2 linked regions of the Oreochromis niloticus genome follow. The protein of the gene in region 1 interacts with the protein of each later gene in a pairwise test. Links are inferred from orthologs where the notes say so. Each region holds a gene or a part of one and is shown on either strand. Other genes may lie near its edges. The genes, in order: klhl42 and si:dkeyp-72e1.9.

What was found.
Region 2: the proteins of klhl42 (region 1) and si:dkeyp-72e1.9 interact in a two-hybrid assay, tested with the Homo sapiens proteins (2 studies listed by BioGRID and IntAct). The two-hybrid records come from large-scale screens. The link is inferred for Oreochromis niloticus from reciprocal best matches to the Homo sapiens genes KLHL42 and STXBP4.

The regions. Positions count from the first base shown.
Region 1 is NC_031981.2:17,141,137-17,156,941, reverse strand, and holds klhl42 (kelch-like protein 42), read left to right. Parts: upstream 1-9,406; 5' UTR 9,407-9,828; coding exon 9,829-10,592; intron 10,593-10,665; coding exon 10,666-10,859; intron 10,860-13,250; coding exon 13,251-13,705; 3' UTR 13,706-14,074; downstream 14,075-15,805. Other genes in the region: UPF0577 protein KIAA1324-like, read right to left, coding at 1-42, 125-214, 988-1,135, 1,240-1,429, 1,498-1,618, 6,980-7,126. UniProt on the Homo sapiens protein: Substrate-specific adapter of a BCR (BTB-CUL3-RBX1) E3 ubiquitin-protein ligase complex required for mitotic progression and cytokinesis. The BCR(KLHL42) E3 ubiquitin ligase complex mediates the ubiquitination and subsequent degradation of KATNA1.
Region 2 is NC_031969.2:437,715-453,118, reverse strand, and holds the start of si:dkeyp-72e1.9 (syntaxin-binding protein 4), read left to right. Parts: upstream 1-8,083; 5' UTR 8,084-8,113; coding exon 8,114-8,214; intron 8,215-11,427; coding exon 11,428-11,501; intron 11,502-15,404. UniProt on the Homo sapiens protein: Plays a role in the translocation of transport vesicles from the cytoplasm to the plasma membrane. Inhibits the translocation of SLC2A4 from intracellular vesicles to the plasma membrane by STX4A binding and preventing the interaction between STX4A and VAMP2.

The sequences.
Region 1 (15,805 bases):
GGTTCTCCAGTACAGGATGTTGGTACCAGACTTCAGGCTCACCTGAGGCAAAGGTGGATACAGTGAGCCACACATCACATGATACTGCAGCAGCTTGCACACACAGGCAGAAACACGTGCTCACCGTGTGTGTGTCCCATTCTCCATTGTTGGTGACTTTTATCCATTTCTGATCGTCAGTCTGAGCCATTTCCTGGCATTGCTCATTCTGGACCTGAGAACAAGTTAACGCAGAGGTTATTATCCATACAAACAAACAAAAATGACTCTTCTTCAACATTTACCTTCTATTAAATTCACTGTGGATATGGACAAATGCTACACCCAGAGTATAAATTGAATAAACTTGCACAGCCTTGTGTTTGACTTTTTAAAGCACTACATTTCATCTGTATGACATAGGCTTAAAAACAAGTCAAGCTCATACAAACTGAAAACTCAACTGCTAAGAAATACCTGCAGTATAACTGTTTCTCTGCGCAAATGTAAGCTCAGCCGCCTCCTGACTACCTTCATTATTCATTAACCAATATAAGAATAATTAAAAATGTCTTCTTTCATAGCAAGATTTTAAAGGTCTTGCATGTAAGTTTTTTAGTAGCATAAACAGAATGAATCATATTTATGTTTAAATTTATTTATTTCTACTTTGTGGAGTGTACTCTGTTATTGTGTAGTATTATTATAGTTTATTTTTTATTGGTGCTCTATTCATTTTGCTACTGTAATTATGAGAAATTCTCATCTTATCTCATATAAAAAATTAGTGATTTGGACCAAAATTTTTCACAAAACTCTCAAGGAAATAGTTTACGAGCAACACAAGTTACGAAAAACTTTAACCAAGCTGGGCGAGAAGCTGAGCACACTGCACACGGGTAGTCTTCTACAACCAATTTACAATCACTAATCATCTAAATTGTCAATAAATCAAATAAAACACGGCTACTCTTGGTTTTATTTACTATTTTAGTTACAGGTGCTTACATAGAACTCAAAGAAGATGTTGTTGTCGGGGTACTGGTAGGTGAAGGAGACAGAGCCCTGTTTTTCCAGATGTACGGCATAAACCAGGGACACCGTGCACTCGTCACGGTTGGACTCCAGATACACGCCCTGCGGCGTCCACGATGAGCTGCAACGAGAGCAAAACACAGCGGCAGCATACTCCATCTTGTTATATATTCAATAATACATGAATACCCATCTCCATGGTAATGGTAATGCTGTGTGCGCCACCTTTTACAGGCCTGAATGTCCTCTCCATTCGGCCCGGTGTCGAGGAAGCTGGCCAAGCTGGTGAAGCCCGCAGGGATGGCGTCCCATTGGTCAAAACGAAGGCCGCTGCCCAAAGAATAAGAACCGGCCGCACACGGCGTGCACTGCTGTGTGGACATCTCCAAAAACTTCCCAGCCGGGCATGAGAAGGCTGAGGGAACAGAGAGGTTGTGTTGGCATGTGCACACACACACACACACACACTGTGGTGGTACTCACAGCATTCAGTGCCTCTGGTTGGAGGAGGAAGATCTGAGCAGGAGCCTGGATGCACAGGGATGGCGACCCTCCATCGTGACCCTGTGCTGTCGCACTCTGTGTACTGGTAGTAGTAGTCTGACTGCATGGTGAACACACACACAAACACACACAGACACGCAGATAGAAAGATCAATAAGGTATCCATTCATGGTTCCTAGGAGATGAGGCTGTTTCACGTTGATGATTCCCTGACTCAAGGTTCATATTTGTGGGTTTGAGTGAAACAGCTGTATAGCTATTGTTAGATTTTCCTCAGAGGGAATCCCAACACTGCTGGTGATACTCTGAGTTTTCATCTAGCATCATCATCAGGTCGAGGTTGTTTGTACCCACCAAACCTCACGTTTTTCCTGGTGAGGCTGTGCCTTTCATCAGAGTCATCAAGAACTACACTGTAGACAACATTTTAAATACCACACGTGTGTGAGTAAAGAATGAAAGTCCTAATGGACGAAATAGTAAATCTGTGGATTGGTGGATAGGTTAAACTGGACCAAAAATGACTGGTGGTTTCAAATTTTTCCCCTTAGCACTGTTTGCCTAATGTTGCCTAATTTGCCGGTACAGGCTACACACACATACAGTACAACATAGCTTCCCCAATAAGAGCTGACCCTGTGTAGCCTGACAGTAACAACACTGCACTGCTGCTGATTCCACATTAAACAAAAGCTGGTCGTACAAAGGAGAGCATGGAGACTTTTACAGGGTAAAAAGATGGCTGACCTCGATGTCCACAGCAACCATCCGCCGGTCCTCTAATGGTCCATTAAGAGCGTGTTAGCGGGTCATCTTATCAAAGGACTGCTGGCTGTGACCTCATGCTCATTGAGGGAACTGAATGCTCATCCACAGGCACTCTTTTTTAGTGCCCTTAATTTTAAAGGGCACTAAAACAGAGCTTTTTCAGGGTTTTGGTACCTTGTTTAGATTTTTATTCTATTCTACACATTGTATTTGAATAACATCCTGTTTTTATGTTTGCTTTAATAATTTTTTTAAATATTTAAATCTTACAACGAGGCCCCAACAAGTAATAATGAAAAAATGTCTTACATACTATTTATAATGTATTTATTTATAACCTCCGGTTGTATAAGAGCATATGGGGAACCTGAATTGATCTGTAGCCCCAAATAAAAACCTTCCTGCTGACTTCTTTGTGTCAGTCACTAGTTTTTTCAAGCTGCGCTGAATAAAATATGAAGTTCATTTAATATATATAATGAGGCTTATCTTTGGCATGCTCATTTGTATCTTTTATACCACCTATTAGTATTTCACAGCAGCTACTTTGATATGAAATAGAAGGTAAACTCGGGTGTCACTAGTCACAGAAATTACACTTGATTAATGTAATTAGTAACACGTGTTTTCACCTGTTTTCCATTTTAGAAACCAGTCAAGTCCAGCCAGCTGTCCATGCATCAGCTGATATTGGACTTGTTGAGTGATGCTAGCTTATAGTTTTGAATTTCACACATTATGGTGACCAATCCACAAATGAATCAGTGTGAAAATAATTATTAGTGGCGGCAGCACAACAAAACCTAAAGAAAAGCATTTTTTGTACTTTTAAAGCAACTTCCTCTGAGTCCAAAGCCTCGCTCTGGCAGATCTCCATCTCCTCCCCCGATCCTGCTGTTCAACTGGACAAACAAATCAGCGGAGCGCCGACCGACATCCGAGCAGCAGCTAATTAAACTGAAACAATCGCAGCGATAAACCTGACAGAGTCAATCGGTGCCAGAGCGATGGCTTTCAGATGTCAGATGCGTGTGCGTGGTGCAGATAAGCCTGAGCTCTTTTAAATGACTAATCACCTCGCCGCAGCAACAAACATGGCCATTCATGCCGCACCCCCTCCGACAAACACGCCAGCAAACATTCAAACGGAGGCTTTGCCGTGCGAGCAGCAGCATCACCTGCGCTCAGATTCACCTTTCTGTGTTTCTGCACACAAAGAGGGCTAATGTGCTGACAGTGGGGGAAAGGTGACGCTGATAAAAAAGAAAAGGACACGGGCTAATGCCTTTCGCTGGTCTCCTGGGTGACTCACGCCGGTTGTCATAGAGACTGATGGAAGGAAGCGAGCAGGGACGGGATAAAATTCAGTGCCTCTTTACAGCAGAGGTTTGAGGATTTGATAGGACCCTAATCTCTCTAACAATGTATTCTTTTAAGTGCAGAAAAAAAACATCTGGAAACTTCTGAAGCTGTATTAAGGTCATCTTTAGAAAACAGCACACAGCTGTTATATCACTGCTAACTGTTTATGCTTTATCAGTCAGGTTTCCAACCGTTTTCATCTGACATACCCAGAAAGCCCATTCAGGTGATGTAAAGACCCCCCTTAGTAACACCACTTCTCATGCTTTATTTTGATGTACACCTACACTCAGTGTTTAAACCACCAGTAATTTTAATTTTTCCCTGCCTAACATGATGTTTAGTCACCATTTCAACAGTTTATCCCTTATTTCTGCTATTGTTAGCTAAAATAAGGAATCAACTTTTCAGTGCCCGCTTTTTTAAGGCCCCTCACTCCTAAAGTAAAATTCCCCATTCATTTTCTCCATGTTCAGAAAATCCTTATATAAAGAGTTTAAAGCCTTGAATCAAACCAGCCAGCCACAAGATGACCCATGATACTAAAAAAATTTGATTTGGACCAAAAGGATAAAGAAAAGATTTTAACAAGGGCAACGGTGCAATACTGGATACATGTAATTATGTTTATCAATAAAGGAACTACTAATCCCACAATGCACAGCAGGTCCCAGATTCCATAGTAAAAGACTTCCAGCCTTCTTGAATTTCTTCTTGAACGACATTCAAAGCTCTTCTTTGGATGTAGGCTTCCTTTAGATGACCCCACACTTATTCAGTAATGTTTATATCCGGGCTCTGGGGAGGCCAACCCATGACATTGTGCCTAGAATTTGTTGTCATGCCGAAAATGTAAGCCAATGTTGCCAATCAGATGATTTCCTGATGGTTTTGGATGGTGGATCAAAATATGTCATCGTTGACATTTTTTATACATTCAACTAAAGAAATCGGAACCAATATGTTTATATGACAGACTGTTGATAACAAAGTGCCTAAAGATGACATTTAAAGTTAGTTCTTTGTTGTCTGTTATGTATAGACACAACATTGCTTCACCCCTTGAGTTTGGTGCCTTTTGTGTACTTGAATGTTTCATAGGTCAGTGTTAACAGGTTCAACAAACAAAAAAAAGGTCAGGTACAAGGACTGGACTGAAAATGAGTGAGACTGAGAATGATCGAGACTTTGCTGATGTTTTCCGTCACGTATTCATTTTGTACCATTGTTCAGACATTTCACACCTCTTTAAATGCTGTATTTCCATGTTTTGTGTGACAGCTATCAAGCTGAATCTCATCTAATCTAATAATGATAACTGCTCCCAGTGGCTTAGCGGCTCCTTGATGCAGGGTGCGGTAGGTTTTATTGATTTTACAGACTGATGGCAGTGAACTGTAATTTAACAGAGGCTGGATCCTATTTTATTACCCAGAATTCAAACTCTGACGAGAAATGATGCTGAGTTTTTTAGTTATTGAGTTATATTAAGATGTGGAACATTTTTATTTACCATTTAGAGACATTTGCTTCTATTATTTTTGCCAAGAGTTAGATGAAAGGTTCACTAACCCTCTTGTATTGTGCATTTCAATAGGAAATGATAGTAAGTGGCCATTAAACTTAATTTGTGACCTCAAAAGTAATAGCACAGTTGAATTGTGCTTCAATTTACATGCACAGTGATCCGGTTAATGATCAGTAGTTGTTATTTCCTATTTTAATTGTACTTTTTTTAGCTTTCAGAACATTTATAGTTTATTTATATTGTCTGACATTATATGGAGTTGTGACTGCCACAGTGTTTGCAGTAACTGATAACTTAGTTAACTATCTAACAGGATAATGTTAGCTAGGATTGCATGCACTTTATTAACTTTTTTATTTTTGTTTTCTGTTTTAAATACTCAAGTGGTTCATAACTAGCAGCTTTTCTCTGGACCAGGTGAAGGCAGGACGTCATAAAATGCAGGAGTGTATTCACAGAGAAGGATATTAAATAAGTCACTTTGATTTAACAAACTAAATAAACTTGTTTTTGTTAACCCATATGAAATTTTTGTTGTCATATATATGTTATACAGAGTCTAATCTTCAGTGATAAGGATACATATTTATCCTGGTATGACATATTTTTAAGATATTTTGAATGCTAACATTTTGCTGTGGTCTGTTCCTGCTAAAAGAAAGTTCTTCCTCCCCTCTTTCACCATGTCCTTGCCCACAGGCTCATCATTCTCTCTTTAATATGGCAGGATACTTATCTCACAATATAAAGCACTTTTAGTGTTCGATCTGTTCAGTATTACTAAAAACTAGCAAATGAGTCCATAAATAATCGCTAAAAGTGTTTGCCGGATCACACATTTCTTCATAACCGGACTTCGATTTTCAACCACAGCTGTCGCCCCCTAGTGACCATAAGAATAAAGCTATTTTTTCATTTACAGAGTATCAGTCCTCGCATGAAAATCTCACCATCTAGAGCAGCGGTCCCCAACCCCCGGGCCTCGGACCGGTACCGGTCCGTGAGTCGTTTGGTACCGGGCCGCGAGAGTTGAGGCTCAGGTGTGAAACGTATGGTTTTCAGGGTTTTTATCGGTTTTCAACGTTATTTTGTTATCGTTTTTATCGTTAACTCGGTTTTCTTGGGTCTTTTCACGTGTGTTATGAATAAATCTTCTTTTTTTCGGTACCGGCACTAGTTTTATTTTGTTGTATTCATCCGCGACACCTCATTGCCGGTCCGTGAAAATATTGTCGGGCATAAACCGGTCCGTGGCGCAAAAAAGGTTGGGGACCGCTGATCTAGAGGGCAAAAAGGTTCTTTTTCTATTCCTTCAAGTCATCCTTACAGGCTTGAGAGAGCGAACCGTGCCAGCAGCCTTTCTCTGTCCTCCTCAGCGAGTAATCCCGGTCGGGCTGGCCGGCATGAGGCTGCTCAGAAGGGGATGAGAGAAGGATTCCAGCTGGGTGTTTATAGTCAACATGAACGGCATTTTAAGCCGATCAGCGACGTGAAGGACGAGGCGCGCATAGATCCAGACCCGAGCTGAGCCGAGCCAATGTAAAGCAGCAAAACGACTTGGAGCCCTTACATTGTTTTTATTTATTTTTGTTTTTTTAATCCTTCTTTTCTTTTCTTTATTTTATTTTATTTTATTTTATCTTAATCTATTCTGCACATTTACTCCTGCATGCATGGCCATTTTGACTTGTTGCCCTGATCATTTATTCTAGGATAAAGAAAAAGCAAAGCGGAGCGGGATCTGTGTTTTTAAAAAGCAGCAGATATTATAATTATAATAACGATGACAGCACAGGCGCTTACCTTATTACACGGCCGCAGGTCTCCGGCGCCTTTAACTGATGATGTATGAGCGGCGATGATGATGATGATGATGGTGGTGGTGGTGGTGGCGATGCTGAGTAAAAAGCTGCAGCGTGCGGACCGGGAGGCCCACGCTTGCTCCCTCATCCTCAGTCCGGGTCACAGAGCGCCGGGTGTCCGCTGCCTGGAGCCGCAAACACGAAGCGGGCCGCACGAGAAGAGTCCCTATCATTGATGCTCCCGCCTGCTTGTCTCACCTATTCTCCCCTCCTCCACCCACAACAGCGTCAACAGGCTGATAATAAAAATCGTTTCCGGTACAGGTTTTCAAATTAAAGCTGTCTTGTTACGTCCTATGAACCTCAATTTTTATCACAACACCTTTGTCCTGTGTTTATTCTCCAGGGTTTTACAATGTGTGGTTATTATTATTATTTTTAATTAAAAATCTATGCAGTGCACCGGTGTCCTTTTTCTCAGTAAAAACTGTGTAAGATCTTAAAATAAATGTCTCTGAATATTAGTTAGTGAAGAGAGTTAATCATTAATGTGAATAATGAGATCTGCATCTGATGGAAAAAAGTTTATAATTTAAAATACAATAAATGTAAAAATATTTTCTAAACATTTATTTAGTTTGTAATTTTCTCTCTGCAGCATTACAATAACTAGTTATACCTAAAAATAAAGCACCGTGTAACAAGGATTCAACATTTTTAAAACTGAACTGTCTGTATTTATGGGTCATTCTACATAAACTCCGAATTGGCGATGGTGAAATGTCCTAAAATTGATTTATTTTTCTAATGTTTACACATAGATCATGTTATAACATAACATGTTCACTTTAATATTCACAAAAAAGACAGATTAATGATTTTTAATCTCTTTTTGTACATCAACTTACAGACTGGATGGTGTTACCTCACTCCTTCTGCAATATAAAAGGCTTTTGATAAATATTATTTCCTCAGTCTCTTCAGCACATGTAGTCGGACTTGCATAAGAATACTCATAATGCAACAAATCAGGGGATTATGTTTTCTTATTTTCATTTGTTAAGTGTGATTGCACAGTGTTTGTTCATTTGTGAAGCCATTTATTTGCTATGCAACTGTTATAGTGAGTAGTGTCACAATCCTTTTGATGTTGACCCTTAAGTGTAACAGAAATCAATGGATCTTGTACAGTTTGGCAGAGTTCATTTGCTGTGACAATGGAAAAAAAATTCCCCAAACCCCAAAGCACAGTAACATCAGTGACACAATAAACCACCCAGGGATTGGGTGGAATTGATTTAGACACAGGATTAATAATACTAATAATATTACTACTACTACTACTACTACTAATAGTAATTATTATTATTTTAAAACTTCATGAAGAGCTTTCGATTAAGTTTTTTTTTCTGTTAATGGTTAACAGTGGTGTTAGTTAGTTGTAACAGGTCTGTTGTGATTCATAATCAAGGTGATACCAGTGACAACTTCTATTAATTTTTTTTTCTAAAATGGCAGCTACAGGGCATCAAACCACATGTTGTCAGTCTTGTTTTTCTCACAAAATTTCTTTCTTCTTTCTTTTTCAGTTCCCTAACAACTTCAACTAAAAGCTTCATATGAAATTATGCTATAAAAAAAAAGGTCTGAAAAATGAAAAGAGATACTGGACTCACTAGACCAATTTTTTTGCAGAGCTGCAGGAAACATGTTACAGGAAGTCATTAGATGTCGGCACCGCGGTGTTTTCCTTCAAAATAAAAGGCTTTTCTTAATCAGCAACGCCAGTGACACAACTCCAAGGTACCGTTACTTTGTTTATATACTTTATAATATTTATTTTACATTTTGTTTTGTTATGTTATGTTTGTCATATATGTATTATTGCAAGACACAGCATTGTTGTTTTTTTTTAGTGCTTCATGGACTCAAGGGTTAGTGTTAAATGACCTAATAAGTGGAAATCATTCTTCTGTAAATAGGTACAAGAACTGGACTGAAAATGATTAAAAAATCAGCCAATGTCCAAAGAAAAACTTAGATAAAAGATATTCAGAAATCCTGGAGAACTGTTGCTCAAGTCCACTTTAAAAATGACAAGAAAGTCTGGCTCCTTGGAACCAAAATATGAAGAAATTATGGTCAAGCTGAGGTGACCATAGCCAATAGCATCTCTTACAAAACCCCAAATTAAATTTTATTTAATTAAAAAAACCTAAATAAATATTAACGACTAACTAATCAAAATTAGCCAAAGTAAATAAAACAAGTAATTAGAAATAAATGAATAAACAATAACAACAATCAATAGCCTAATCAAAAAGTTGATCAAACATTCAACTTATCATTAATTTAAACCATGTTATGTAATTCTACTAATGACCTGCTGGGGGCAGTAAGGTGTCTTTGATACGCCTAATCTGCCGATAATTCCAATGGAAGAAGAAGACGCATATGATGTGGGGTGCAGAATCAAAACAGTTAAATTTGACAGCTCGACATTGTCCCTCACAAGGCTCGTAAAATGTTATGAAAACCTTCCTGGCAGGCTGAGAAACAAACCGCGATATTCAACCAACATTCTCAGAAAGTGGGGCCTAGTTGTGGAGGAATGCCATCGCGGGGAAAAGCTTCTTTTGGCCGGTTTATCCGGGAGCGGTAGCAGCGCCTCTGCAGCTAGCTGATTAGCTTCCCAGCTCCATGGCGATCTACGGGCTGAACATTACCATATATAGACCGGGCACGGAGCTCCCTGGCCGGTGAAATGTAAACGGCCACGGGCTCGGGAGACTGAGAAAGGGAAAGCAAAGACAAAACTCAGCCTGAGAGACCAAAACCACCATCTTCACCATGTCATCCGAGCAGATCATCGCCATCATCATGGATGACAAAACCTACGAAGTGAATAAAAAGAAGCTGATCGAGAAGAGTGACTACTTCCGAGCTCTGTACAGCTCGGGGATGAGGGAGTCCACGGAGGACTCGGTGCAGCTGCAGGGGCTCAGCGTCCTTGGATTGGAGCTGGTCCTGGAGTTCATCAACACCTCCAAAGTCCAGGTAGTCAACGAGACTCTGGAGGACCTGATCGAGACCGCCTCCTTCCTCCAGGTCACCTCCATCCTTAAGCTCCTCACTTCGGAGATCCGGCTGGAGAACTGCGTGGAGCTGTATAGCCTCTCCGAGGTGTATGGGACTCACGACCTGCGTACCGCCTGCCTCAAATACATGACCTGCTACTACCACCCCATGCTGAGGCGGCCTGAGTTCAGCAGCCTGGCCTCTGCTGTCAGGGACCAAGTCAAGGAGATGCGCATGAATGGCACTGCCACCCTGGTGGCCATCGGAGACTTCACCAGCCTGTCCCTGGATGTGCCGGATCAGGATGAGCCCTGGTCCATGCTGAGGTATGGAGAGGTGGATCAGCGCTGGAAGCCCCTCGCCAATAACCTCCCTCCAGATATGATCAACGTCAGGGGGTATGGGTCGGCCATCCTCGATAACTACTTGTTCATAGTCGGCGGGTACAGGATGACGAGTCAGGAGATCTCCGCTGTGCACTGCTACAACCCCTGCAGGAATGAGTGGAACCAGGTGGCGCCGCTCAACCAGAAGAGGTAACACAAGTCCCCTCTTGGTCCTTATTGGTTGTTTGCCATCGCGTTTCAATCACTGATTCTTCTCGTGCAGGTCCAACTTCAAGCTGCTGGCCGTACAGGGAAAGCTGTACGCTGTGGGAGGCCAGTGTCTGGGCACAGTGGAGTGTTACAGCCCTGAGCAGGACTGGTGGACCTGCGTCTCCTCGATGCCCGACCCGCTGGCTGAGTTCTCTGCCTGTGAGTGCCAGGGTATGATCTACGTCATGGGTGGATACACTGCGAGAGGTGTGTGTACAGGAGCTACAGTAACATATACACTAACACGCCAACACAGTCCGACAACAGTTTGGAGAGTAACTGTGAATTTTCATCTAGTGATTCTTTCTCCTTGACATGAACTTTGACCTGCACTGACTTGTGTCCATGCACACCAGATGAATAGTTTACTTTTTATTTTTTAAGGAGCAAAAAAGGCCCACATTTGGAGGTTAAAGGTGACATGAATCATTTCACAGCAGAAACCACAGTGTGAGTCCTACACAAGGATGATTTATACACTTCAACTGTGGTATTTAAAATACATAGATTTTTACATATCTGTCATGTTTTAGATCATCAAATAAGTTTTAATAGACATGATAGACAAAGATAACCTGAGTAAATACAAAATGCAGTCTTTAAAAGATAATTTCATTTATTAAGAGAAAAAAGTTATCCAAATCTACCTGCCCTGTGTGAAAAAGTAAATATGTTAACTATGTTATCTATGTTAAATCATAGATTAATTGTGATTAACCGCATTTTTTAGAAAACTGAGTTCAGTTTCACTTAGCCACACCCAGTCCTGACTACTACTTTTTCATGGCACTGTAGTTATAACTCCTCCAAAAAGCCTCTGAGAAATGAAGGGAAAAAACATAACTTAATTCCACAGAGTAAAAACTTCCCTGATGGCGGTATGGTATCTTTAGCCTGCGGTTAGTCTCAACAGATGGCTGCACCTCACAGTGATTCTGTTGGAGAAGACTTCCTGGTAAAGGGAGTTCTTCCTCCCTGCTGTCGCCATGTGCTGCTCATAAGGGATCATCTGTTTTTTACTTTTAGTGTCAGGTAACTGGAACGCTTATATCAAGGCAGGCACGTTTTACTGAAAACATCAAGATGTCTGTTTTGTTAAGTTTAATCGTCACAAGGGGAAAAAAGTAGGCTTAAAATAAGGGAAGCGAGAGAAGAGGAACAAACAGAACACAGATACCCAGGATAGTGTCTTTTCCTTATACTGTGAGGTGACTAAGTAAAAAGTGAGTTAAACCGAAAATGACTTTGTGTGAATTCAGATTTACTTTTGTTGTATTGTTGCACCTCCTCTCAGTTGGCTGTGGTGTTTGTCACGTTGTCCTTGTGTTGTTTTGTCGCTGTTGACAGTTTGAAGTAGATGTTTTACATACCGTTAATGCTTTATTGTAACACTGTCACAGTGCTGTACAAGACAACAGCACAAACAGAAGTGTATCCATCCCTTTCTTTGTTTTCCGTTCCTCACTATAAAAGATTTGGGATTATCCAAATCTGATCGCGTTTCCACACTGCAGCTTCTTATGGTGATTTGTTCATAACAAAGTCTGAAACATCCAGCTTCACCCTCCTTTTTGACTCTAATGGGACCACAGTTTACAAAACAAACATAATGTGCTTTGCAGCCATAAACTCATCAGCAAAGTGTTTACTGAGTTCATACTAAGAGGGAGCCGAGGACCTTTTCTCATGCACTTCTGTACAATTTAACAATCTGCCCCCTGCTGGCTGCTAGAGACGCAGGCTTTGCTGCACCCACCAGAAGTTTTTGGATCTTTCTTACCTACAGCTGTTTATATTCTCAGATTCAGTTCTTCTTGAGCTGCAGTTTACTTTTCTTAAACAAAATTAGATCACTTTTTGACCCTTTTTAAAAAAACTACTCTAAAGACATTCATTAGAATCATTATGTCCATGTCACATTTTAGTGCCCAACGTGAATTTTAAGTAAAGTAAAAAATAATAAATCCTATAAGCAAAAAGACAAAAATATAATTGAAATGAGAAATAACACAAAAAGTTATTAAACTTTTAAAGTTAAAGCATGGACTGCTCATGCACCGTAAGGTAGTGACTACACATCCAGACTGATCTCTGAATTACTCATTATTTCTATAATGAGTAATTTATTTATTTGGATCCTTCATATTTGGGTCTACTGAGCTGTTCCTGCTTCTTATAATCCTATAAACTCTTCATTTTAATGTGTATTTATCCCTTTACCAGTCAGCAACATATCGTTTATAATCAGGACACCTTGTCCCGGATTATCTCTTATATATCCTTAATTATAAGGGATTTAGCGCTGCTGGGTGAACAGGATATTAAAGCGGTTATTGCTTCCATATTTGGGTTTTTGTTTAAATAAGATGAGCAACTTGAATGCATCTCCCAGGTTGTAGGAGATTTTATAAAATTTAAAAACTATTCTTTATTTTATTATCGGTTTGTTTATGTTGGAGCACCTTCTTACGTTTCTCTTTGTTAATTATTCAGTCACTGCGTTTTGTATTTTGGGCTTTCTAATATTAAATATGTAACAATTACTCTTGTAAAGTTTTTTTTCTTCTTCTTCTTCTTCCCATTCATTACACTGGACAGAGAGGAACACAAACATCCTCCGATACTGCCCCATCTCTGACACCTGGACGACGTTCCGATCCTGCCCGGCTCACATCCGGAAGCAGCAGATGCTCTCCGTGGAGGACACCATCTACCTGGTGGGTGGCTACACCCACGAGCTGGACACGGGGCTGCGGCGGCGACGTCCCAGCCAAACAGAGGACGTGCTGACGGTGCAGTCGTACAACGTCACCACGGGGGAGTGGCTCCAGCTGAAGGAGAACACGTCCAAGTCGGGACTGAACCTGACGTGCACGCTGCACAACGACGGCATCTACATCATGAGCCGGGACGTCAGCCTGCCCACCAGCCTGGAGCACCGCGTTTTTCTCAAATACAACATTTTCTCCGATGCTTGGGAGGCCTTCAGGCGCTTCCCGGCTCTGGGACAGAACATGCTGCTCTGCTCACTTTACCTTCCTAACGTGCTGTGACCGGCAGAGCGGTGGGAAAGCTCGAACACCGTTAACAGACCGATTATTCTTGCACTCATTGGGGATCTGTGGCGTCAGGGTGTGGTTGGCAGTTTGAATGCCTCGTGACCGCCGTGCCTCGGATTAAAAAACTTGAAAAAACGTGCACTACGCTAAAGATACTGCTGTGGATGCAAATGGAAAAGCTATAATCACAAGTGTGGCCCAAAGCATCATCAGAGGTAGCACCAGTTTGTGCCTCTCATGTGTTAAAGTCAGCAGTCACCATCAAATAATCACCAGGTGAAGTTTAGAAAACACAGAACCAGCTGGTGCTGCCATTTGAAGGCATTTCCACAACCCTCAAAAAGTCTCTTCTGACCATCTGGATGAGCACATGTTGGTTGGATTGCAGATTTGAAAGGTGGAGGAACAGCATTCATATGGTTAAAATAGTCTTTTAGGGTCCTGGAAATAATGTTTGAGTGTTTCTCAAATATCATTTGAGAAACACTATCATTAAATATCATTGGAGAAACACTACAACTTCATCCCTTTTCCCAAGAGTAACTTTATTTTGAAGGGATGTCGAGTACCAGTGGTCAGACTGAGACTGCAAAGCAACAATCTCCAAAAAATCACAGGAAGTTCAGCCAAAGTCACAAACTTTATGATCACACCTAGTATTTCATTCTGATGGCGGTAGTTGGTTCGTCTTTGAGACATTTATGTCTTTAAAAAAAACAACAACAATCGGATGGTGACTGTAAACCCCAGAATACACCGGTCAGGCCCGCTGGAGCAATGCTTGCACTTCTACCACACATGTCAGGCTCTTCGTGTAAAATCACGCCAGTCTGTTGTATTGAGACCATCGAGAAACTGATCTATCATTAATAATATTAATATTATTATTATTAGTTTATTTCCAACATTTTATAAATATATTTCAGATGAGAAAAATTTTTCAATACAAACAGTGTAAATTATATCACGTACAGACCTTTAACAACATAACCTCTTTGTGTGACCCAGCATGTGAAAACCAAGCTGAAGTCCAACTTTCAAAACTTCTAGTTTAACATGCAAAATATTCGTTTTTGTTTATTTTCTATGAATTTCTAAAGACTGAAAAGTCTGCAGCATCACTGTGGGGATGAGTTTTCCCTCCCGTAGGCGAGAGGTTCGCTGGATGAGCATTTGGGACAAAATGGTGTGCTGTTTATTTGCAGTTAATGCATCAGAGACTGTTTGACAAGTGACAGTTTTCAGACACAGCTTTGAGAGATATATTTGCAGACCGTGAAGTTAAAATGAATTTTTTGAAAAACTGGAAATTAACACCGTTTTATTGTTCGTCTAGTTTTGCGCACAGCCTGGATCCTGTATATTTTTCACATGCTGTGTCACTCTAACCTTTACAGCGTGACATTTCTGTCCACACTTTTTCCATCAGTCGTTAAAATTATTTAACAAAAACACAAAAAATAAACTAAAAGAAAATATTAAATACAGCTGAATTAGAAATTAAAATAATAATAAACATTACTAATTAGTTTTAATTCTTTTCTTTAGTTCAAAGTTTTAGTTTCTTTTTTTAATATATTACTACATGGAGGATATTTAGCAGGTCCCAGGCTTAACAAAATTCAGAATAATCATTATAGTAAAAACATTTTTTTGCAACAAGATGACTTAGTAAGCACAGACCTCAAACACTAAAACTACTGACAGTTTCTTTATATTTTTATTTTCTTTTGGTTGATTTTGTAAATTCAAAAAAAGTTGTATTTATTTTCTTTCTGTCTAGTTTATTTAATTTAATTTAACTAAAATATTTCAGCACCCAGAGTTTTCAGACGATTTAAAAAAACGTCCGTGTTAGAAATGAGACATGACACTCCGAGTTAGGCTCTGTGCAGATCTCTTGCCTGCTGCCACTGTTTTGTCTTAAGCAGACTTAAAACGCTAAAATCACATGCACGTGTCCACTTTTACATCCACGACCATACAAAACATGAGAGGCACTGATGAGGGCTGCATAACAGCGTGCTTTCAAAACTAACGGCCACGTTATTCCTGATGTTTACACTCCATTGGCATCAAACTTTAACATAACAC
Region 2 (15,404 bases), on another chromosome or scaffold:
AAAGGTATAAAAGTTTGCTTTAAATTTTTTTTTCAAATAATGTAATGAAAAAAAGCCCAGGATCTCAACATTAAACTCACCAAACAGACAAAAACCATTTGCAGCCTGCTGCTTTTAGTCCAGTGGCTCAAAGCACCCTGAAGTTCTTCAAAGCATCTTTGAAAGATGCTTTGAAGAACTGCTAAGCTGCTCTAGGTATTAGTTTAAAACATGCCGGATTTCATGTGTTATGCAATTCAGCTGCTGATGAAAGTGAACAAGTCACCCAAATTAAAGTCTCATTTAGGTGGATTACCCAAAACATTCCTTTGCCATTTGAGAAATATGCAAAGAAAAAAAAAACCCAAATCAATGAAACATGGATATGAGAGGAAAGGAGATACTGATGAATGTAAGACTTAAACTCCAGAGCAGGCAAGTCAAAGATGGGGACAAAAACCAACTGCATGTTTTTATAGACACAAGCTGCAGTTCCCCTTATCTTCCAAACTGGAGGCAGGGCTGGGGTGCTGTGCTGCACTCCATACGTTGGTGCGTGTTATCGATCAGCGTCAGGACAGCTCAAACTCACCATGGGGGCCATCTTCATGGATGCTTTTAGAAAGTTTACTGTGAAAACATCTGAGTGCTGGGCAGTGGGAGCTCCAGCTGTCCATAGTCTTCCCGCTGTGGGTTCCTAAACACTGGCCTTGTCTAGACACTGGCAGGATTTCTGTCTTGGAATTCTGTTCTGATTTCATGGGTAAGTAGCCATGGAGAGCTTTGATGCTTCTGTTGTTTTTGAGTTTGGGTTCCTATTTGGATTTTATTTTTGTACTATCACCTATCGTCGTTCCCTGTCTCGTATATGTGCTGTGTTTGCTTCTTCGGTGATCATTTCAGGTGTTACTTTCAAGGTTGACTTTTTGTTGTTTCTCATTATGCTTGAACTTTTTGTCATTTTCCTCCTTGATGATTGTTATGATTGTCTAATTACTACTTATGTGTATCTAATGTCTGTAGTTGGGTCCTTGGTCCTTGGTTCCTTGGTTCAGGTTTCCGTTGTTTGTGGTCCTCTCTCGTACTTTGTGTGTTAGTTGGAAGCTTCTCTGTTTCTTTTTGTTTCATTTTAGATTGTGCTTCTTCCAGGTTAAAGCTCTTTACTCATCATGGCCTCATGGCCTGGATTTGGTGCCGCCTCTCGTCTAACTACATGACAATGCAACTTCCTCCGTGTGCTGATGATTAGTCCCATGTAAGGGCTTGGCCATCCATGATTTTTTTCCTCTTCCTTTCAGCGGTACAATGAGCTACAGTAAGTTATCAGGGTTGAGCTGCTGTTGTCTTCCATCATTTATTCTGTCCTGGAGCTATTATTTCAACGACAAAACAACCGTTATTAAGGTGGAATTTAGATTCAAAGGCAACAAATAGAATCCAAAATGCCACGGCTTATGCAAAGCAGCCATGAGTCGGGATAATAGCCATGAACACAGACACTCTGAGCCTAAAGTGACTTTAAATACACAGGAGGTAAGAAGGGAAGTGGAGATACCTGGGGAACTACAGACAGCTAAAGTCAGTCAGCACGATGACAGACAGGAAATAAAACACCAGACAAAGTAAGACAGGAAGCTGAACTGCACACAGGTGAACAGGCTATGTGATATCTTATCTCACTTTAAACAGATATGATGATAAATAGAATTCAAATAACTACTTCTGTCAAGCTTAAAGGTTCCTTGTTACTTCTAGGAGAGATGTGGGGATGTGGGCTTTACATATTTATTCGTGTGCTGCAGCATTACACAACATGATATAGAGACATACATAATAAACTAAAATCTTAATTCTGACCAGTCAAAATCTTCAAGTGTTACAGAAGAACACAAACACAATGGAACCAAAGACATTAGATAATTAATACAAAATAAAATCTCAAAAAACACTCTATCATTTCTTTTCTGTAGACTCACACTGTGTTCATTTGTTGGGAAACGACCGCACAAAGAGACAGAACAGTGTGTGCGTATGTCCTCAGTACTGTCAAATGTAAACAAAGGAGAGCACACATCGCTCACATACTCACTCAGCTGCTCATGCTCCCAGGCAAAAAAGAAATAAAACAAATAATGTGAAAAGCAACAAGAAGTGCAGTGATGTCTCAGCTCATTTATGGCTCAGATGTGCAACTTTACAACTAATGGGATGTTTTAGTGAAGTATGCAGTGTGTTTACACCAGTGTTTCCCAGCCGTTTGGAGCCACGGTCCATATTTCACTTTAGAAAAATCCCACGGCACACCACCAAACAGAAATGTCACCAAAAGCATACTGATAAGTCTTCCACCAGATATAGCAGAACTGGCTCAGTTTGTCCCCAGTTTACCTTTGTTGCTTCCTTCTAACCACTACTCATGCTCGGGCCTTCACCTGGGTCAGAGTTTTCTCCAGGACCAGGTCAGACTGAACACTTTTTCTTTTCAAATATTTATCTGTTGCTATTACACACTGCATCGTCTCACTCACAGCATGACTATTATGTTATTTCTTCCTCGTCTTCTTCTGTTTTACTGCCAGTCAGCAACCCATTTTATTAGAGCAGGTAGTTGTACTGCCCTCTAGTGGTAGAGAATGTCATTGTTCTGCCCGTTACTCACGCCGCTCGCTTAGAGTACCAATCAGGTGGAACCAGATAATGTTCCACAGCACACCTGATCATTTCTCACAGTCAGGGGCAGATCTAGAGAAATTTTCTTAGGGTGGCAAAGAAATCAAATGGGGTGGCAAAATCAAGGCCTTTTTTTTTCAAACACATACGCAGGTGGTTACATATGGTTAAAATAATTCAAATGCAGTAAATATACATGTTTTTCATATAAATATAGTCTATAACTTAATTATTGTCTGTAGCCCACATAATTAAACACTTTAGTTGCATAAAACATGTGAGTTTTGATTTTATCTACAGTACAGCCTATATAATAAATAAATATGTAGCCCAATGAGTATGTAGAAAGCTACACAACATGGGGCGGTTCATTTACAAACACAGGACTAACTTAAGTTTCACACTGTTTTTTTTCACAAAATGTCAGAAATCTGCACTGTCATGAACAAAAATTTAAACCTAATTTTTCATGATTTGTTGGATGAACCCACTGAGGTCTGAAATACAACCGGACATTTTGACTCCTTTTGAGTTTACGTTTGTATTTCACCCTCAAATTGTTTCAATGTATTTTTTCCCCTTGCCTTGTTTGGTATCATTCTTTTCAGCTCAACCTCATGTGTCTGAATTTAGTTGTTTTTTCACTGACATACTGCATTAATATTACTGATCTGAAATCACACAACGTACTTAAATTCCTAGTAGTATTTTTTTTACCGTAACCCCCCCCCCCCCCCCCCCCCCCACACACACATGTTGAGTAAATTATTTTTATAACATGAAATGCAAATATAAATTGTACATTTTCAAAAGTGAAGCACACATTTTGTAAACATATACAACTATTTATCTATAAATGCAGCCAATACACCTGGCAGGGTTTCTTTTGTACAACCATTTAAAAATATTACTAAAACTAAAATGAGAGAACAATCAGGTTTCGCAATAAGATGCCCCACAAATGATGTGTGCCAGTAACAAAAGACAGAGGAGAGCAGCACAGGGAGAAACCTGCAGGCCTGACAGCAGCAGGTGTATCACTCCGCTGGTTTTCTACTTAGTGACAGTGTTTACATTACAAATGTGCTTTTGTGACATTCATTAGTGCCCTCACTGACACACAAAACAAAACAACGACTACACAACACAACACACTAATGATACACTCCACGCTGAACATCACAAATCTCCCACATCTAAAAACTCTCTCTCTCACTCGCTCGCTCTCTCACTCGCTGCCGTTACCCTCACTCCCAAAACTTTCCCCTCTTCCTAAACAACCAAATCCCACGTGACTTTTTTTTTAAAAAATGGTACAATTTCCCATCGATAGGAAAGAGGTGGCTTTTTTCTTTCTTTACTGTTTTCTTGCTGTCCTTAGAAAACGCTTAAAAAAATTAAAAAACACACAAAAAAACCATGACGACAGTATTTAAAGAAAAGCAAGGCTTATGTATATTTTTTATCATAACTCTGGATTTATTGGCCCGCATTTACAGTTTAAAAGCCAATGTATTCCCAGTGCTTGGGAACTGTATGCAGCGTGGACAGCCGAGTTAGTGATGAGGGTCTGTTTGTGTTTTGTGGAAAGTGTCTGGGACTGTGAAGCCTTGCCTGGTGCAGGCTCTAAAGGATGAGATGCTTCACATTTGGAGACAAATCTCAGGTTGGCTACCACTGCAGTCAAGTATTAGCCAAGCTTACATCTGTGCTCCCAAATCCTGTCTCTGGAGTCAGTACAAGACCTCAGGGTTTGGTAAGGGCCTGGAAAGACTCCAGTTTCTTTAATCCCAACAGCTGAAAAACATCACAAACCTTGTCCTGGCTTTAGACAACTCACTGGTTTAATGGTTTTGAACTGTTTTTACTATATCTCTGCTGTCACTGTAATAATGGTATATTTTATTGAACTGAAAAACTGAAAGATTGAACAGTAAGGTTCTTTTTTGTTTTAATAACAATATCTTTAACTAGGTCTTGTAAACCTGAGTGTGTAATCACACGTGAGTCCACGTGATAGTCAGACTGGGCTAGGATCAGTTTTTGAAAAGCTTAAAAGATGAATTTACCAGCACGGACTGAATTCATGAATCCAGCGTGTAGTCGGAACAGAATTCAGAGAGCGTCAGGGTCTATCAGCATCAATAACCACACTGCTGTCCTTTTAAAGAATATGATGTGGATCCACACCAGATTAATCTGCTCGTCAACTGGTTTCATTAAATTTAGCTTGTTTATGTCATTTTGTTCATGGACAGATAGAATCTTTTATTAGTGCATGAGTATCGTTCAATATAACAGCCTAATATAAGCTGACTGGTTTAAATCTTAGTCACCTGAACTGAAATGCACTGAGTATACACTTCTGCATTTTCATTCATTTTGAGTAGTCTCTGAAACTGATCTCTGAGGAAGCCTGGCTAGTCCCCATACTGCAGCAGTAATAAGGATAACTGTGTCTAAGTTACAGACCCGAGTTCATTTTTCAGACTTGCCAGGCTGGCTCTCTCTGGGCTCCTGTTTGCCCCACTGAGCACAGCTATTTACTGTGTCTAAATGAACCCATGCAGGCGATATCTCCGCACAGCCAAGCCTCAAACATGGATGTGAAACTCCAATTCATATCTTGGCTCTTTATCCCATCAGTGACATCCGATTCACAAAAAACAAAAACAGATTTAAAACCTAAAAATCAGAGTGTTAAATAAGACTACAGAGGTCAGTGGGGACATTCAACTAACATAGCAGTTTAGTGCTGGTAATGGTAACATCAGTGATAGGATTTATGCTTCAAACATCATTAATGTGTTATTTATGCTGAACACGCCTGGGTGTCTTTTGTTTATCTGTTGGTATTTTTATCAATTTGTGTTTAGCCTAACATGGCAAAAACGTCTCCCAAAACAATCTATGTTGCACAGACTAAAAGTTTAAATGTACTTTCCAGGAAACATGCAGGTTGTATATCAAAAATACTGAGGAACCAACTGCAGACATGACGGCAGGCTCCAAGAACACAAGAACAAGCTTTTGTTAGAAAGTTAAAGTCCAAAAACACACAGACCGTAGAATAGAAACTGTTCAACAGAGGCAAACAGGACTATACACACAGAGTAAATGCTAATGGTAATTAGATACAGGTGTACACAATCAACACAACCACAGGCAGGAAGTAAAGCTAAATGCAAGAAACAGAAAAAGGAAGTAATGTTAACTAAAGGAAGAAGCTCAGAGACTGATGTAAAGTTAGGAACTAATAAACGTTAGTATGCACAGTAACTAGAACTCAGTGAGTTAAGAAGAAAATGTAAAGAAGCAGGAATGAAAGAGAAAACACGTAAAGATAATTAGGGCAGCTTTAGTGTGAAGTAATAGCAATACACATTTAAAAAGTTTTAACAGATTGAAGCAAAGCAGACTGCAGTCTGTTTCACACACAAAGCAAGAAATAAACCCACTGAGATGTAACAACTCTGTGTGTGTCATACAGTCTGATCTGTGCTTGGAGTATTTGAACAGCCTTCTTGCAGAGGCCTATATTTAGCACGTGCTTGTGCCATATGGATTTGTGTGCATAAGCTTATCATGTCTTCATCAATATCATCTCTCCATATCTGCTTGGCAGCTGCGGTGCATCATGATTGGAAATATGCAGAGTATATGTTAACAACCACAAGCTAACATCCAGGCTTTTGCACCACAGCACAGACATGCTTCAAAGGCTCAAAGTGCCTCTAGGATTTGCCAGGTAGGTTTTCAGCTGTTTTCGTGGCTCAGGCTGAAGCTGCTCACAAATATCTCAGCACCCGGTGCTCCAGGAAACGTTCCTACGAATTTTTCTGTTATTTATCGTTTGTGTCAAAGATTTCTTCTGCTTGGACCTCCTGCAGCCTCAGGCCCGTGTCACTCAGCAACTTTATTTGGGGGCAGCACTTCATAATACAGCTCACAGATAATGGTGTAATTACTGACCAGTCACCATGATTTCTTTATTCGTTTAGGGGGGTAACTTTCAGCAACTAAAATTACCATATGAGAAAGAATGTTTATGTATTTTTGAATTATTAAGTGGCTTTGGACATTGGTAAATGACACTGTAAGGATCTACATGTAATGATAATTTCAGGGAATTTTAGAGGCAAGAACCTTAAAAAATATACTTAGTGTGTTTTTTCTATTCAAACCTCCACTTGTACTGTACCTACCAGTAAGGATATTTTACTGATAGAAAATTACACCTCAAATCTAGAACAGTTACACACCAAATTCAATCAAAAAGAAACCACAGAGTGTATACTGGAACGCTCCCCCATTTATGAATGTAGTGTAATGTAACAGTGAATCCAAACACAGGCAGGTTCAGCAGGTTTCACCTGTGTCATGTTGCTGGGTGGAATCAGTGTGGGATTGCTCGGCTGTATGCACATTTCTTTTGCTTTGATCACTTTGAACAAACAGCTCAGTTACAGTGATCAGTGTTGTATCTTTAAGCGTTGTCGCCTCCATTTGATTGATTGATTTTGTCTTTGCATTAAATTCATTTTAGGGATCACGGATGAGGCTGTCTCTAACCAAAAACCCTTCCTAGCAGCACTGAGCTGAGACAGCACTGTGGTAACTTTTCTTTTTCTTTCTCGCATTTTTGTAACATCAGCTGATCAAAATACAGCCAAAATGAAGAATCGTTGTTTGAGTAGTGAAGATGACAGCACGGAAGGTCTGAATGACAAAAGATGAAGGCAGAGTAATGGATGTCATCTGGGGATTAAATTGCAGTTTCTAAATGGAGAGTAGGGCACTTGTGCATTAATGTGTTTAAAGGCTCGTAAGCCCCTCCCTCTCTTTGGCTCAACAACTTGTTAGCGCAATGGCCAATATCGTCTTAAAAGAAGCTGTGGTTGATACAAATGGAAGTGTGGGTAGAATCTATGGAAAGACTAATGTTCAAGCGTAACGTGGCCAAACACAATTAAACACGTTACCATAAAAGTAGCACAAACATCCACAGAGAGGGGAAAAGCCAGATTCCGTTGAATGGAGCTGTTCCCCGCAACAAAAATAAAGCCGCTGCACGGCCACAGCAAGAGAAAATGACAAGTGGGGAGAGAAATGTGTGAGAAACAAACCACCGAATCATTTCCAGCCTCAGAGGGGGTTTTTTTTTTTCATTTTCCACCGACTTTAGTTATGTAAGAGATTAACCGTGTGGCTGAAGGTGGAGATGTTTGGAGCGCACAGGCTGCTTCGCTGGAATTAGTGCCTGTGCACCGTCATGTGGCTGCTGGCTGAAGGCTGAACGCTGCGACCGAGCCTCCGCCTGTCTCACCGGAGAACCGGGCTCCATGTCAACATGCCAACGTTTTCAGTCATGTACAAAGGAGCTGTGATCATCAGCAGGTAAAAGCGAGCGGTTGTGTGTGCAGGTGGAGGTTAGTCTGTGTGACAGCAGCGGTGGAGTGACACGATGCTGACAGCTGAACTCTGTAAACACGGAGACGCGTTTACTAACCATAGCCCTGTCCCGTGGAAACCAAACACACCGCGTGTCTTCTCGGGCTTTATCTGGTAACCGTGACGCTGACTGTCCGTCTGTAACACAGGCGCATGTTTCTGCTTCGTGTCTCAGGCAGAGCCGTGCTTCATGCTCTTCTCTCAGGCTTATCGATATGTTCTAGTTTTCCGGGTGAGATGATGCAGTGATCTTTCTTGCATGTGCTACAAACGGATGAGCTCCACACCGGAGACCAGGTGCTGTCCCAAGTTTACTGTGAAAAGACTCTATGAGGCACTTTGTCAGCTCTCATGAACATGTTGGGAGCATTAGCGGGTTCCATTGTGGACATTTAATATTGAATCTGTGCTTTTATTGTGTGTGGCTCTTTGATTTTGTCCTTAAATGTTGCTGATTTGTTGATATGTTTTACCAAAGTTGGAACATTTACTGACAGACTTTTGGAAGCTTGTCTCATCGACTTTTTATCCGTTAGGGTGAATGATGCAGTCGGCAGTGTGGAGCTGCTTCAGGGAATTGTGCAGTTATGTTTACAGTATGTTTCTCATGCCACAAGTTATACTTCATCGATGTGTGTCTAACAACACAACCACTGAGGTTTTTGAATGGCACCAAGCTTCAGCGAGTGTATTCGTGACTCCTGTCATGCCCATAGACTGTATGAACCTGGATTCAGGGGTTAGTAGCTGTAGTTGCAAAAAGACTGTAAGTCCTGTAGTGTTACATGGGTAAACGGGCATCTGCTGTCACCTCTGGAAACACACAAGGCATTAACCAATGAGCAGGTGGTTTCATAGCTGGATCCACCCCTCACTGCCATATCCAGGTTGGAAACAAAGCGGTCGGTGATTCACATTGGCCTCATCCATCCGTTATGTTGTCTGTGGTCATGCCCATCAGGTTAACTTTTGCCACTGTATTGGTCTGAATGTGATATAACTCAGTGCACTCAATTTTTTTTTTTTTATGACAATTACTCAGCAAACGGTACCTGTAGACCTGAGGGTTAAACTGGGACTGGGGAAAGGGGGGAACCTTTGTAGCTCTTCAGTGGCAGGAAATGACTGATCAGCTGACCTGTGCTGGTTTTGAGGTTTAATGCTTTTTGTGGATTTTACCAGCTGGATTCTAAAATATATATGGAGATGTTACGTGAACCATCGTGGCTGCTTTCCAACTCCTGGCCAATGTGACCTTTGTACAACCACAATTCCAAAAAAGTTGGGATGTGGTGTAAAAACACATTTTATTCACAATAGAACATAGAGAAAGCATCAAATGTTTAAACTGAAACATTTTACTACAGTCCCGATCAAAAGTTTAAGACCACTTGAAAGTGTTGTTTTCAATAAACTGCATGATCAAAAAATATTTTGCCTCACTCCCATTTCTTCTTGTTGCATGTTGAAGCTCTACTTGGAACCTTGTTAAGATCCAACCATGCAAAATAGGATTTTTTGCCATTTTTCAAGTGGTCTTAAACTTTTGATCAGGACTGTATTTCATGAAAATGGCATCAACATCTTTCAAAAAAATTGGGTCAGGGCAACAAAAACTAAGTAAGTGGTACTGAAAAGAAACAGCTGGAGTAACATTTAGCAGCTAATTAGGTTAACTAGTAAGTAACACAGCTGGGTATGAAAAGAGTGTCGTGGAGAGGCAGAGGCTGATGAAAAAACTGCCAACAAACTGTGGTGCAGTTTCACAATTTTCTTTCGTTTTCTTTTTTTTTGTTTGCGATCTTTGGTCCTTCAAGCAGCATTGCATTAAAAACAGGCACAATTGTGTGGTGGAAATCGATGCATGGGCTCAGAAACACTTCCTGTGTGGGACCACAACTCGCCGTACTGTCCACACATGCAGGTTAAAGTTCCACCCTGCAAAGAAGAAGCCATATGTGAATATGATCAATGATTCTCTGGACCGAAGCTCATTTAAAATGGTCTGTAGCAAAGAGGAAAACCGATCTCTGGTCCGAGGAATACAAATCCAAAATTCTTTTTGGAAAATGTGGATGTAGCATTTTCAGTAGGATAAACGTTTCGTCACTCATTCAAGTGCAGGTTTCCCCAACCTTATAAACAGTATATTTGCATAAAAACTGAAACTAGCACCACTGAACAACGGGCTGTGAGGTCAGTTTCTTGATCATTAATATGCAAATTGTCATGACCATTGATCGAAAACAACCCAATGCAGTAAAATGAATCCAAACCACAAAAATACAAAGAACAACAGTGAATTCAGGTGTTCTAGTGTGAGACTTTCTATATCCATCCTTAACAGATGATGTTAAAATGTCCAGCTCCATGCTGAATGTTGCGTCTTTGTGTTATCAGCCAATGAGCTGGGCTATCAGAATATCATCTAAAGAATTTGAAGCTTGAAGACTGTTATTCTGTACACAGAGCTGCATTCTGCTGCGACATTCATAAAGCCCGGAGTTCAGAGTTTCCTCAGCCTCATTGTTTTTACTGGCAGCAGTGGTGAACCCTCTGCAGCTAAAATGTTGATAGTCCTTTTTTTTTCATTTGGGTGTAGACAGGAAGGGAACTGCAAACTAAAATAAAGTGCTAAAAAGACATCGTTCCAGATACCAAAAATGGTTTGTTCATTTGCAGTATTCTGCATTGTCTTTTGTAGTGTCTAATGAGGGAAGCAAAGGGATGCTTTGCAAGTGTTAGATGAGGATTAGTAATGAAGAAAAAAGGGGAAAGCTGCAGTGTGCAGTCCTCTTGTGCGGCATTATTGCATAAGATGAACAACATGTGTGCCAGCTCTATCTCTCAGAGATTATTGCTCACTGTGTGAGATCTTACCAAGATGCTTTTGAGTTACCCAATGCTGCCGTCTCATTTCTGCTTCCTCTGCTACTGTCACAGCTGTATTTGGTCTTGTCTTCAAACAGCAGTGTGAGGAAAAATACACCTTTGTGTTCATATTTTGAGAAAGATTTTTGACAGTAATGTATATACATAATGTATAGAAGACTCTCATTTGCACAACCAAGTATCTGCAGCACACACTCAAGACACACTCCTTGACTTGTGTGGTGACAAAGTCTCAGGCCTAGTCAGGATAAGCTATCTGAGGTTAAGTTCCCAACACTATAGTGCTCCTATGGATTCTGACTGTGTAGCTGTGCAGCCTGTGAAAGAAAATAGTTGGATTTTGGGTTTTTTTTCCCTATTTCGTCATCTTTTTCTTCCTCACTCTCCTTCCCTTCCCTGCTTCCCGCTTCCTTTTTATCCATTCACCTCTAACAGGACACTAATGGGTCCATACGGAGTCGACCGAGCTGTTCATTCCATGGAGTTTACAGACTGTGAGAATGGCCTAGGTAAGTCTTTTCTTACTTCTGTCCCCACAAGTAACACACCTCAACACTCGACTATTCTCCTTTGTGCTTGCAGAGGTCATATGTGTTGCTGCTTGTAGTTATTGCTCTGGCTCTTTAACTTCAATAAGATGCTCAACTTAAGCTCCTGCAAACCAAAGTTCTTTCATTTTTTCACTTGCACTTGTCTGACTGCTTACACAGCTCAAGTTTATTCAGTGAGGGAGACATTCAAATAGTGATTACTCAAAAAGTAGCTAGTACTCTGTAATGTAACGTAGTTAATAAAAAATGTCCATGAAATGACATTGACTTTAGTGATCCATTAGTTTGTGTACAATGCAAACTTTCCACAAGACATTAAAGGAAAAGAACGATTTTGGAAGTTCCATACATTGCAAACAAAAACTTACCAACACCTAGACCATTTGGACAAGAACAGGAAGACAACCAAACCAAAGACAGGATAAGTGGGTGGAAAGGAACCTCAGTGAACCTGAAAGAATGTGCTAGCCAAAGCCAATTTGGCATTTCTCCACAACAGCTGCAAATAGTGGATCTTTTCACAGTCTTGGAAACAGTGAGGATTAACAAATTAACACAACCTGAATTCCTCCGTCTAACCTCACAGTACAATAAGAGAAGGCCAACACATCCCTGAGTGAAGACCAAAACATCACCATATTACCAACTGACAAGGGGACATGCACTGTTGTTCTAAACTCAACTGATTATTACACCAAGATTCATACACTCCTCAGTGACAACAACCTATGTAGCCTTAACGTGAGACCCCACAAACAACTACAAAAAGAAAGTCACCAACTGTCTACAACAACTCCAAAGGAAAAGACAAGGATTGGCCTCCATACCACCGTTTGTACCCAGGGCATGCTATGGCCTGTACATATGGACTTCCAAAGATCCACAAAGAAGTTGGATCCAGATGAAACCATCGTGTCCTCTAATGTGGTCTCCCTTTTCACTTGTACAACCGAGGCAGTGGAAACTGTCAGTAAACAGCTACAGCAAGACCGCGCCATAGAAAACAGAATCAGCTTCACCCTGCCTTACCACCACATACAACCAGGGTTTCTACATCAAAATATGGATGTGCCATGGGCTCCCCAGTGTCACCCATTGTAGCCAACCTTTATAAGGAGGAAGTGGAAAGTAAAGTTTTTGGTTCTTTCAGAGGAACAGCACCTAAAGACCGGCACAGATGTGGATGACACCTGGGTCAAAATCAAAACCCAAGAAGTAGAAGAATAATAGTTTGCCATTTCTGGACTGTGCTGTGTTGAGGAGAATGGAAACCTCAACACTGAAGTTTAGCAGAAGCCCACACAGACAGGCTAGTACCTACTCTTTGACTCCAAACATCTCGTGGAACACAAACTTGGAGTAATCAGGACCCTGCAACACTGGGCAGAAGAGAAAGGAAAGGAACACACATGTATAGAAAGTTCTTAAAACATGTGGTTATCCCAACAGAACTGTCATCAAATCAGCAAAGATGCACAGGAAAGAAGGTCAGACACTAGCTAGGGAGAAACTGAATGACAAGCAGAACAACATTGTCATCCCTTGTGTAGCAGGTTTATCAGAGGAGAAGCTTCTCCAAGCTTGACATCCACTTCAGACTCGGCCTCGTGAGTAAAGCTTGTGATCTAGAGCTTTCTGCAAGTGTGTCAACATAACCTGAGTTCTGAGAGAAACTGTTCACCTCACAGGACGTAGTGGTCTGACACTTTATACCCAATAGTTGAACAAATACATACAAGCTGAGATGAAGCCATGAATTTACAGAATACAGTTCTTTACACCAAGTCTAAATCATCTACATAGCCTTATTCAATCATCCTCCACTAACCACTGGCGATGGAGCATGATAATGAGTAAATAAAATAATATTACTCTGCGTTTTAAAGGGATTTGCAGAGTAGGTACATATCACTGTGTTTGCCAACCAGGGGAAGTAGGTCAAAGCCATAACCTACTTAACTGAGTGGGGTTAAGAATACAGGAGCTGCTGTTGTTTTTATCCTCCACTTCCACTATCTACTATCCACTATCACTGTGCTGCTGCAACTTGTGCCTAAGCAAGAAAAACAGCTCGTGTCCACGAATGCAACTACTGTCAAGCTGCCAAACATCACAGTGAAGCAAAACTGCTTTATATAGATATATTTATGTCCATATTTATATGTCCACACATATATATTTATGTGGTTGTATAAATCTCCTCAGAACAGAACTGTATTACTCTATTATTGCTGACATGTCCAAGATGATGCCTTACATGATTTGGTGTTTAGTAACTTTTGCAGAAGCTGATGGCATAAAGAACTTGTGCACTGTCAAGGCAACTTGTGATTTGGCAGTATATAAATAAAACTGCATATGTTTAAGTTCTGAACATAAAGTTTACAATTATTCTTGAAATGTTACATTTAAAGAAGTAATAAATATTAAATAACAGAATTCAGAGAGTCAGAGTACATAGGGCAGCTCTGTTTTCTCATTTGACGAATAAAAAAAAAAAAATGCACACAATTTGTGTGCATTTTTTATGCATTTGTAAAATGCATATATGTATGCTATACAATATATATTTGGCTAGGAAAATGAGAAATGGGTCCAGTGATTTACTGAAACCTGCAAAGAGACATGCATCCAGAGAATCTGAAAGTGAATATTTGGTGTGAACACCTTTATTCTTCTTCACAGCCTGAACCGTCAGAGGCAGCTGACTGACTGAGCATGCTGACTCTGTCATTTCTTTAAGTATCCTTCAGGAAAAGTTCTCCAGGCTTCTTGATGGATAATCAAAGCTCTTCTTTGGATGTTCTCTTAAGATAACCCTTAACCCTAAGATAACCCTAAGATAACCCTTCAATAATGTTGAGGTCTGGTCCATAACCATCAGTCATGGACTGGCCACTGTGGATTTTTTTTTCTATCCAGTTATGCTTTTGGCATAACAGTGATTTTAAGGAATTGGTTGTGCTGTATTTATACATATGTGTAAGTGTCATGAAGGTTTTTTGACTTACTGGAAAGCCAAAAAGTCTGAAGAATGAAGATGCGTAAAAGCCAACCTGTGTCTCAATATGTGCACGCAGGTGAGAAGCAAAGCAGCTAATGCCCATCCAACCTGAGCACATGCAGGTGTACACAGTGTTCTGATACATATATTAAAGTCTTAAGGCTTCCTTAGTGTACACATGTAGCTTTCAGCAGGGGGAAGGGCTGCTGTAGCATACATTCGCACATGGAGGACAGCACGTTTGAATCTCTGTGTTAGTGCAGCTGAAAGCTGTACAGCATGAGCCTGTGGGCAGGGGACAGTGTTTGTAGTGAAAATCGTGTCCGTCACAGTTCATTTTGTTGACATGTTGGCAGAATCTGCAGCTTGTGCTTTAAAGAAGACTGTTTTCAAAAATCACTCTCACTACTCAACAGAGACTTTATATTTCACATTCTTGTGTTATCTGGGGGATAAGAAACCATTTTAAGAACCTTTGTAATCACACTGAATAACCCCACATTTTATTTAGATCTGAAAGTATTGGAACATTCAGTTCTTGTGTAAGAAATATGCCCTTGACTCATTATGAACGGGAAGTAATGATTCGGAAAGTAAATGCAAAGCTGAATAAGAACAAGGGGTGTAAGTCTTTCATATTTGCTCCAGCTGCATGTTTTTCTTATCTGATGATAGATGAGGGGAGGAGACTGCTTTGAGGTTTAAAAGAACAAGAAACTGTTTTCCTCAGAGAAGAGTACAAAAGGATGGGAGGAGTGAAACTGTTCCAACAGGCGATAATTAACTTGAGCCCTTCACTCCAGACCCAATTAGTTGTACCACTCTGTGTTGGCTCCAGCAGGCCAGTGGAAGCCTTA